Linked DNA regions of Caenorhabditis elegans. The protein of the gene in region 2 purifies or fractionates together with the protein of the main gene of each other region. This does not show direct contact. Each region holds a gene or a part of one and is shown on either strand. Other genes may lie near its edges.

Region 1 (5,245 bases), on a different chromosome or scaffold from region 2:
CTTGAAACTTGGATGAATAATGCTTCTCTAAACTATGAACTCAAAACTTCTTTATCTGATTTCCCTTATTCAATTCTTTCAAACACTTATTACCAGCATAACCATCTGTGCCATTTTAATTTATTGTTCGATCAACGGGACTGAAGATGAAGAGGCCGCCAATATTGAAATGTGTCAAGTGCACTCTCCCTATTCATCTTTTTCTATTCTCATTTTCAGTTTTCTAAACCGACGGAAATCCAAAATGAACTGAGGATATGGATAATCAAAAGAGGAGTTGACTTTTTACAGTAATTTGAAATCCCTCACTAGTTTCTTTTTGTTCATATTCAGGTTTTTGCAAAGTGGAAAATTAGAGGCTCTATATTTGATCTTTCCATACAAAAATTCCCAGACACAAGCGCCATGTTCAAACGACCAATTTGTTCTACGCGCCGTCACCACCCGGTGGCCTCATCCATCCATCGACTCGGACGGCTCGAAACCGTGTGTAAACATATCGTGCACCGGAGGGCAACCCAAAACACTCTTCTCACCGTCGTCAAAACACGGTGTGTTCTCTTTGCCTGTTGGGATAGATGGTGGTGAGCTGGTGATCCGAAGGGGGAGAAGAACACACTTCAAGAGAGAGTGAAAGGATCATTTGTAAATAACACGTTTTTGTGCATTGTTTCGATGCTTCGAACATGTCTGTGCTCCGTAATTAGAAAAACTGCGATTTATTAGATTATTGTTTCGGAGAAAATCAAGAAACATTGCAAACATTTCTATCAGATTTTTCCTAATTATCTCAGAAAACAGCTTCCAGTGTCTCACAAATCACCTGGTCAATGCTTATCCATTCTAATATCACTTCCTGCCAGTCCTCGCGCAATCAGTGATACCAAAACAATCCGACTTTCCAATGTCTCTAAACTGCCAACCATATTCACACTGAAGATGTGGAAGGATGTGACACCGTCCGAAAATGGCGACAAAAACTTGTTAACGCTTAAGACATACACACACCATCACTACCGTCAAGCCGTGATGTCCACACTCATACACACACACACCGTTGCCATTGCCATCCTTTTCCTGCCATTATGCTACAAATAAACGTACACGTTCGCCCCATATCTTCTTTGTCGTCCGCTTCTCTTTCTCTCTCACTCTTACGTCAAAATATGGCGTAATCACCATCGACCGATCGTACTTTTCAATGCCAAAGATGCGCAGAGATAACGGCGAAAAAGATGAAGCTGAAGCTGAGATTCAGGTAGAAGACATATGGAGAGAGATCGAATAGATGGAAATTTCGAGATTAAAATTTTACAATTTAATTAGGAATCCAACAAACTCAAGATTCAACCTGAATATTTTATAATCACAATTGCTCGTAACAATTTTATTTCAGTCACGCTTGTCAAAGCTAAAAAACCGCCAATCTAAGTGAACTGTCTATAGATAAGTGAAAACAGAACATGTTTACGATAGCAATCTGGAAAAAAACTATCGGAGAAAAGAAACAGAAGGAAGAGAAGATTAAGCTTTATGAATATTGTGGTGAGATAGTAGTAAAATTTGTCTCAAGTGAATACAACTTTCACTAGCTGAATCCTATTGAACTTTGGGAATGAACACGTACTTACCATGAAAATTGAATGGAAAACATTGGGACTCAGACATTGTTCGATAGGGGAAGCTTGAAGATTTTGGAAATGAAGAAGACATTTTCAAAAAGTGTGGTGAAACATCTTCTTCAGAATTATTCGAGATCGAACTCGGCGATGTTGTAGATGCTTCCGAGATACTTGCCATAGAGAGATCATTGGTTATCAGTGTGAGAGCACTGTCTACCGGTTTCATAAATGATGCATTTGACGGTTGTTGATACTCGTACCAAGAAGTGTGGTGATTGGAATATGATGGTTGATGATAAGCCTGATAATGGTATGCATCCGATATGGTTCGTTGGCAAGTTTGATGAGTATTGTATCCGTAAGCTGGTGATAATCCAGATGAAATCTCATGTTTTCTTGATTGAAGTATAGTAATTGGGAAGCTTCGAGTGTGTCCCAAATGTTGTTTTTGACGGGATTCATCATGTGTCAGAAATTCATAATTAAGATCATCATCTACAACCATCACACCACTTCCTAAAGCAGCCATTTCAACATAATCATAAACATGCGGTGGCTCTGGTGGTCTATACTTCTGATCCTTGATTCCATTTCGATTATGCGACGATGGATTATTGAATGCTGTATGTTTATGAGCTTGTTGAAAATTTGCATCTATCGGAGCTGATAGATTTTCGCTCTCCTCACAATTTCGACGTCCTTGTCGTTTTTGTAGCAGCTCAGCCCATCTTCTGGCTCGTCTCACAAATCTTTTTCCACTGGAGTTTCTTCTCGATGGCGATTCGCCGTCTCCACTGTCGGCCATATTTCAGAGGGAACTTCAGTACATTTTCGAATAGTAAGTTTGGATGGCCAGAGTTGGTGCACGTTTAAAGGATGAAAAAAGAGAAATGGAGTAAGAAAAGGGAAAGCAGGTGGAATATATGATGTAAAAAGAAAAGGACGTTGGTGAAAGGCAGAATGGGGGAATACTCTCAAAATGGGAAGCTAGTCAGGGCGGAGCCTTGTTCCCGTTTAAAACTCATGCAATGTGCTTCTGCCGCCGGCTGCTGCAGAGACACAAACACACGAAGGGGAGGGCGTATACAACGAGGGAAGACACTTTTCCGAAATGGGCGGAGACTGTTCGATCCTTCCTCGCAACGACGAACGGCAGAGAAAGAAGAAGCCGTGTAGAAAAAAACGAGGCGAATATGAGGAGGACTCGGGGGACGTAAGAAGAACAGATGATCATAAGCGAAGAGCTAAATAGTGCTAGAGACGATGAGTCGCAGACGAGCGTCGAACTAAAAACCGTGTATACGTATGGCGGTGGTGGTCACTGCGCCACCATTGCTGCGTCTCTATGGTTTATCTCTCACACTCGTGTGCCGCTTCTTTTTTAGAACGTTTTCATGTACACTGGATGAATGGCTGGACACACCGGCACATTAAACATGATATGTCGAGATTTGCGTGGAGGTTTTAAGAGATAAGTGTTCTTCGGAATGAAAAAATGAATTACTTACTATTAGAGTAAGTTATTTCATTTTAATGAAAATTAGTTTCGTTCTTCTAATTTTCAGGTAACACTTTTTTCTCTTGGAAATATGAGCCATTTCGTTGGTAGTGTCACAAAAATCATATAGTACTGCATAATAAATTATTACGAGCCTATTACAATTTTGTTTCCTACTGGTTTTCGTACTATATGATATTGTGAACCTATTTTTTAAATATACGAAACCAGTTAAAAACTTGTCTGCATTATTTTTCAACACCATTTTCTCGGTTTACACTGTTACTTTTTCTACTGATTCGATTACGATTATGAACACGAACACCCTTCAAGTATTGGTATGGCAATGCTTTTTTCATGACCACTTTCACAACTTGAAAGAAGAAACATGCCCCGAAAGAGAAAGTAGTTTGTGGCATGGGAAATCAAACTAACACGGATAATAGTGATAACGAACATCCTCTCTGTCTAATCAAGTGAGGGAATTGTGAATAAACTATAAGAAATGCAGAATTATCTACTATTACGTCATTCGGGGGATACAAGTGAAAGTTGAGATGTGTCAGACATTCAGGAGGGAAAAGCACGTCAATTCAAATCATATATTCTAGGTCGACGTCGGGAATCTTTGATGAACGATGCATCTTGTTTTTATGCTCCAAACACTAGACCGAACGCTTATTTTTTGACAGCAAAAAGTAAAAAAGTAAACTTACTAGTCAGGTGATCGAGTAGAAATTGCAATATCTTTTGCGCACCGTTGGTCTCGTGATAGATCTTGCTGATTTCCGGCGACAAAGGATTTCCTTGCAGACCGAGCGTCTGAATCCGGAAAAGCTTTCCCAGCTCATAGGGCAGCACACGGAGTTGATTATTGTTCAGGTACAGATGACAAAGACTGATCATATCACCAAGTTCTGTGGGAAGTGAGCGGAGCTTGTTGTTCGATATGTCGAGCATTGTCAGATTTGTCAACTGAAAAATGGGTTTTTGGTATGAAATTGGATTTTTCAAGAAGATTTTAGATGAAGAATAAAAGAATATAATATTTATTATGCTGATTTGTTTTTTGGTAATCTTTTTTTTTGCAATTCTACAAAATGTCCTACTGCCCCATGTTCTCCAACAATTTTTATTTGAAATTAGTGTCAAAATATTTAAAAAAAAAAATTTTTTTCTGAAAAAAAAAATTTCTGCTGGAACATTCAGGAAATTAATCAAAATGGTCGTATCGATTCATCGAATTTTTTTCCGGTAATTTGCCACTTTCAGGTAATTCTTGAGCATTTTCATAAATGTTTCAGGTGAAATAAATATTATTTTCAGATAAACTGAATGATTTTCTATCTTTTGACACTAATTTTGAATGAAAAATGTTGGAGCATCAAAGTTTAGATCATTTTGTAGAATCGATGAAAATAAGTGCCACCGCCGGAGATAATTTCCACACTAATCGGATACCTGAGCAATCTCCGGTGGTAACCGTGTCAGTCCATTGTTGTTAAGAAAAAGAGCTGAAAGATGTGTCAACTGCCACAGTGACGGTGATAGATTCTTCACACGACCTGGAAATATCTCGAATAAAAATTGAAACAATTTTCAAAAATGATTACCGTGTATTTCAAGTTCTGTCCACCGTGTTGATCTCCCACTGGCAATTTCGTCTTCAGTTAACACTCGATGTACTCGACTCATTCCATTGGTTAACGTCTTTTTTCCATCGTTGTTTTCAGACTTTGTGAGTGGCTGGCCAGCTCCTCCGCCTTGTTTGTCCTTGTACTCCGATGTCATATCTCCTGATGACATTACATCACTGAAATTAAAATATTTTATTTAAAACATTCTCCAATGAATTTTTTTAGATTAAAAATACTAAAACTGACCCAAAACAACCTTTTATTGCATATTTTCGTCGCGTATATCGCGTTAATTCGTAGATTTTGGCACATTTCAAATCGATAATTGAATGCCTATCGACTTTAAATGTGCTTAATCGAATTAACACACTATAAGAAAATATGCAATAAAAGGGGAGAAAAACTAGATTCCTGCTGCTGCGACAAGGACAGGGCGACGAAATTTTAGATTTTAGCAAAAAATGGCTCTTTTTTTTTTAATTTTTACC
Region 2 (5,964 bases):
TCACCGCACAGTTTTATTTTACGAGTTTTTAGCATTTTTTCCAGCAAAATTTGATTATTTGCCAGATTTCCTGATAAAATTAACGCGAAATTGTAGAAAAGCAGTTAAAATACAACCGTGCGGCAGTGTTGCGAATTCTAAGGGTTTATTTCGAGTAATAAATCTGAAAAACCTCTTGCTGGAGAAGCTTGGCGGCCTTTTCAGGCTTCAAATCCTCATGGATTTGATCCAAATCCTTTCCGGGACGTTTACGTGTCTTGTTCGAAATCGTGTGCTTCCTCTGTCCACCGCTCGGCATTTTTTGCTGAAATACTACTTTTGTTAAGCTTTGAATCTAGACAAAACAGCTGAAAAAGATAATTTCAGGCTCAAAAACCCTTATTTTAGTTGAAAATTTAAAGTTTCCGCGAGTAGATTTCGAAAATTTTTATTTTTTTGGGCATAGGGGAGGGAAAATGAAAATAAAAAGATACACGGGGCGCCCGATCTCGCCCAGCTTCTACTGCTGCTGAAAATTACAAATAAAAAAGATCGAACTTTCAGAGTAATGATCACCTATAAACAACTAAGCGTATAGTCATCAAGTATAGGGAGATATAATAACAAAGACAAATTATAGGGCGCGTGAAAACACAAAAAACTTGGGTGAGAGATGGGGAAGGGCACGAAACAGACAGCTAATTTACAATAACAGTGTAGACGGTTTTTGGTGGAAAAAGGAAGAAAAAAATAAAAGAAATAGACACATGAAAAATGACGGGAAAGAGATCTGTTCAGGCTTGTTGTGGAACTCCGATTAGGCCTTGTGGTGTCTCATCGCCTAGTCGAGAAGTTGATCCGGAGCTATGGAACAGCGAAAGCGAAGATCCAAGACCAAACATATGTCCACAGATCAATGGAGCAATCTGGTTCCAGTTGTCTCCGAAAAACTGCTTTTTGATCTTGAAAAACGTGGCGGCGGTCAGCAGTGCGTCGGATCCAGCTTGATGGCGAACTCCTTGTCGTTTCACGTCCAGCTGATCGGCGACCTCTTGAAGTCCTCCTTTCAGCTTTGCAGACGCGCAATTTGGAGTTCGGAGCAGGATTTTGATGTCGAAGCTGGTTGGGAAGAGAGTTTTGTGGCACATGAAGAACGTTGACTCTTCCTTAGGCAGATCTCCAAGTGTGATGCTTTTCAACAAATATCCAAAGTCGTAGCCGGAAGAGAACGTGAGCCATGTGATCCGTGGATCAGTGATGAGGCCTGACGTCGTCAAAAGTTCTCCGAATACTGCTGTCGGTATTCCATTGTTCTGGAAGAAAGAAATTATTATTAAAATATTGGAAAATCAATATTAAAAAAACCTGCAGCAATGTGAAGTCTATTCCGGCTTGCCGGAGCATTTCGACACTCTCATGCGAGAACATGTCTTCAGCGAAGGAGAAATTGAAATTGAACTGCCAAACATCGCCAGTCGGTGGTAGCTCTCCTTTGTCATTGACCATTGCAAAGCCCACTTGTATTAATTTCAGCATATTCACATTACAGAACACTTGCTGATAATTGAAATCTTCCTTGCTTCGAAATGTGCCCAACGGTGTCGCCACAACTCCGGGAAATTCTGTGTCCATTGCCACGTAGGGATAATCCTGAAAAAAAACCGATTTTTTAAAAATATTCAAACGATCGGCTGTACCTCGACGAATCCTCGAATCCTCGCGAATTCCTCCTCCACGTTTGACATATATACGTTGTGAATCTTGACTTCTGGTGCTCCACTTGCTCCACCTGCTCCACCTGCTCCACCACTGCTACTAGAAGCCATTTTTATGATATCTGGAACTAGAATTTTCGTTTTAGAGTGAACGCTTTTATTTTCGATTTTTTTAAACGAATTTATGGGACAGAAATCGAAAATAGCTTATAAAATAAATAAAATAATTTTTCCGCAAACTTTTAAAGCAGAAAAACGGGAGAAAAAGTCAGTTTGCAAAAGTTTTGAAGCGCAAAAGAAGTTCTTGAACGATCGATTTTGGATCGGCATTAAAGGCGCATGGAGTTTCCCAGCGGTGTGGGTCTCGCAGCGAACGGGAGAGAACTGCAAACTGGCTAGCTGCCAAGTGAGTTTGTTTTACGTGAAACTGTCGAGAAAACATCGTTTTAGTGAATTAAAATGTGTTTTTAATGAATTTTTCACTTATTTTCTTGATTTTTACCCTAAAAACATGAATTTTGTGCGTTAAAATGATGCAAATTCGAGTAAAATACGTATAGAATGCCTATTTTACTCATTTTACAAGATAATTCTTCAAAACACGAATTTAATTACTTTTTTGCAGGTAATAATGCTGAAGATCGCCGTCGCCCTTTGCCTTGTCGCTTCCGCTCTTTGTAAGTTGGAAAAATTAATAAATTCCCACACAAATTATTCAAATGTGTGGCTTGTATAAAAATAAGGCTCGATTTTTCGAATTTTAAGCGTAGATTGTTAACATTTAATACAAATAAAACAATAAATATTCCAGGCGCCAAGTGCGAGTCGCCAAAGTACTCGGCCTCGTCATTCTCCACTACCGACGGATTCTTCCACTACAAAACCACCTTCATCACCGAGTTCACACTTCAATGCAGCAACAACCCGAAGAATATCCAATACACTGCTGAAGTAAACGGTCGCCTTATCCCAGTCTCGATTTCCGACGAGACCGCCAAGTTCCAAGTCTCATGGACTCTTGAGCACAAGGACGCCGGAGCTCAAACCTTTAATATTAACATTTTCGACGAGGAGGGAGCCGCTCAATACGCCAAGAACCCTGTCACCAAGCCACTCTTCACCGTTCAACAAAGCCATGGGGTGAGAATTGCATCATTTTCACATAATTATCTTTAAAAATCATTTTTTGCAGGGTCTCGCCACGAAGTCTCCAATCTCTTCCGAGACTGTCGCCGTCATCATCGTCGTCATTGGCCTTTACTACGCCATTCGTCAAAAGACCGAACTTGTCCACTAAATATCATTGTTTTTATCCCCAAATTACTGGTCAACGCACGTTTGCGTGCTGGGTTTTTGTTCTTTTTGTTTTTATTTATATATACAAAATGTAATTTATTGATTTTTGCCCCTTTTTCCACCCCATTCGTGTATTTATAAGTTCAGTAGCCCCCAAATAGCCATAAATTGAAATTTAATTGCTAGACTGACGTAAAAAAAAGTTTAAAGAGTTGAGAGTGTAAATCCCCGGGAAACTTACTTTAGATAATTTTAAGACCCCCTTTAGGCCAAAATTTTCATTCAGGCAAAATGCTTTTGGCTCGATCCATAATCCGATGCTCGCGGAGCATCTGTTGTGCTCAATTCCAGACCCCATCAAGCTCACGATTCCTGCACACAAGTCGACAACTCCACGAGAAAGAGCCCACTCCGAAGAAGCCAGACGATCAAAAATGGAAAATGTTCAGAATGACAATGTCTGAGGAGCAAAAACTCGCAAAAACGGCGAAAATCGAGCAAATGAAGGCGGAAGAAGCGCCGAAAACGTTGTTCGCAAAAGTGAAATATTATTTTAAAAGATATTGGTATATCGCTGTGCCGGCTCACGCGGCATCGTGTACAGCATGGTTTATCGCATTGTATTTGGTGGTTAAAAGTGGAGTTGATGTGATTTCATTGCTCGAATGGCTTCATATGCCGGATGCTATCGTTGAAAAGGTCAAAAATACGCCCGAAACCGCCGGAGTTGTGGTGGTTTCGCTGATTTTGTACAAGGTTCGGAGGATTTTCAGATGTTTTTTCGAAAACTTTAATTAAATAACAATTTGTTTGGAAAAAACACAGATTTTCTCGGAAGAAACCCAATTTTTTTGTATAAAAAGCACGATTTTTTAGACAAAAACCATGTTTTGTAAAGAAATCAATTTTATTGAAAAAACTAATTTTTTAAAGAAAAAAGGAACAAAAAGGGAAGCCCTGGTTATTACACAGACGCGAAATTCTTCAATGTTAAAAAGGTGTGCGCCTTTAAAGAGTACTGTAGTTTCAAACTTTGTGGAGTTTCATCGATTTTTTAATATTTCTCACGAAGAACAAAGAAAATTACAACAAGTAAAACTACAGTAATCTTTAAAGGCGCACATCTTTTTTACATTGAAGAAAAAATGTTATCGTGTCGAGACCAATTACAGTATTTTTGTATATGTAATACTACAAAAGACGTGGAAATGTTGCCAAAAAATTACGAATTTTAGCAGAATTTAACCAGAAAAATAATTTTTTTTTCCAAAAAAATGTATTTTTTCGCGTATGTGTAATAATAAAAATTTAAATTTTCAGATCGCAATGCCATTCCGCTACATGACGACACTTTTGCTCATTCAAGCCACTTTCTGGACTCTCCGAAGATTGGGAAAACTGAAGACCGCTCGAGAAGTCGAGTACAAGGTCCGAAGTGAATATGAGCTGAATAAGGCACATTACGGACGACGCTGGTATCGGTGAGCATTTTTTTTAGGGGAAAAATCCATTTTTTGACAAAAAAAACACATTTTTGTGGCTAAATTCTTCTAAAATTCCCAATTTTGGCAAAATTTCCATGTCGAATTTCACCGATTTTATGCCAATTTTGGTCGAAATAGAGCCTTAATAATCCTAAAAACGCGTAAAAATGACCAAAATCGAGCCCTAAAGCAGCATCGCACAGAAAAAGAGGCGGAGCGTAATTTCGCAACCCTGCGGCACGGTTTTTTCCTCATTTTTAAAAAAAGGTTTTTTTTTTCAATAAAATTTCGATTTTACTAGTTTTATTCACATTTTTCGAAAAAAGTGAATAAAACTAGTGAAATCGAAATTTTATTGGAAAAGATCAATTTTTCAAAAAGGAGGAAAAAATCGTGCCGCAGGGTTGCAAAAATACGCTCCGCATCTTTTTCTGTGCGGCGCTGCTTTAAAGCTCGATTTTGGTAGTTTTTACGCGTTTTTAAGCCTATATAGGCTCTATTTTGATCGAAATTGGCACAAAAATCAGTAAAATTCAAGGAAAAAGTGACAGAAATTGAAGATTTTGGCTAAAAATCCAATTTTTCGGGCTATTTTTCACTGAAAAACCCCCAAAATTTTCCATATTTTCCAGCTATCGCCACCTTGGAGTTCGAAGTGTGAGCCGTAAGAACAGTGTTCACGCGACAACTGCTCATATTGGACAAGTTCAACGATTACAGAAGGAGCATGAGAAGCTCAATGAGCCGACGACGACGAAACTCCATGATAATAATAATAATAAAAAGAAGGATGATTAATCTAATTAGATATTATTTTTCAGTGTTTTTTAGACTGTTTTTTCTTCTGTTAGGGTGCTTCCGAGTGTGTATAAATTGATTTTTCCCCCCGAAAAATTTGGCTTTAACTTTTTATTCATAAATCTGGTCATTTTCCCTAATTATTATTGCCAAAAAACACTAGAAAATTAATTTTCAATTGATTTCCTTGTTATACAGCCGCATGCTGAGCACAGTTTTTCGGCGAACAATGGCGACTGGACGGCATTTTGTAAGATTTTCGGGGGTTTTTTTTCCAGAAATTTCTGGGTCTCGACACGACAAATTAGAAAAAAAATTTTTTTTTTAATCGAGTTGTTTTGAAAAAAACTATGAAAAATCGATTTAAAAAATTCCGAAAGTTTGAAGCTACAGTACCACTCTTTAAAGGCGCATTATTAAAAAAACATGTAGCAAAAATTTTCGTGGTGAGACCTGCAGGTAATTTGCCGCTTTTGAACATTTCCGGCAAATTGGCAAATTGCTGGAAATTAAAATTTCTGGCAAATCAGCAAACCGGCAATTTGGCGGCAATGAAAATTTCTGGCAAATTCACAAATTGCCGGAACTAAAAAATTCCGGCAAATTGGCAAGTTGCCGCTTTTGAACATTTCCGGCAAATCGACAAACCGGCAATTTGTCGAAAATGAAAATTTCCGGCAAATTGGCAAGTT

The links.
Region 1: the proteins of ccf-1 (region 2) and ccr-4 purify together in Caenorhabditis elegans (affinity purification with western blotting, with the first as the bait; one study listed by BioGRID). This does not show direct contact.

The regions. Positions count from the first base shown.
Region 1 is NC_003282.8:12,362,727-12,367,971, reverse strand, and holds the start of ccr-4 (poly(A)-specific ribonuclease), read right to left. Parts: upstream 2,699-5,245; 5' UTR 2,428-2,698; coding exon 1,632-2,427; intron 1-1,631.
Region 2 is NC_003281.10:11,918,416-11,924,379, forward strand, and holds ccf-1 (CCR4-NOT transcription complex subunit 7), read right to left. Parts: upstream 1,823-5,964; 5' UTR 1,806-1,822; coding exon 1,677-1,805; intron 1,630-1,676; coding exon 1,345-1,629; intron 1,293-1,344; coding exon 774-1,292; 3' UTR 413-773; downstream 1-412. Other genes in the region: znf-593 (Zinc finger protein 593 homolog), read right to left, coding at 173-298; trap-4 (Translocon-associated protein subunit delta), read left to right, coding at 2,326-2,371, 2,506-2,834, 2,887-2,991; Y56A3A.22 (DUF1279 domain-containing protein), read left to right, coding at 3,282-3,746, 4,311-4,471, 5,107-5,272; nft-1 (Nitrilase homolog), read left to right, coding at 5,475-5,522. UniProt on the Caenorhabditis elegans protein: Catalytic component of the CCR4-NOT complex which is one of the major cellular mRNA deadenylases and is linked to various cellular processes including bulk mRNA degradation, miRNA-mediated repression, translational repression during translational initiation and general transcription regulation.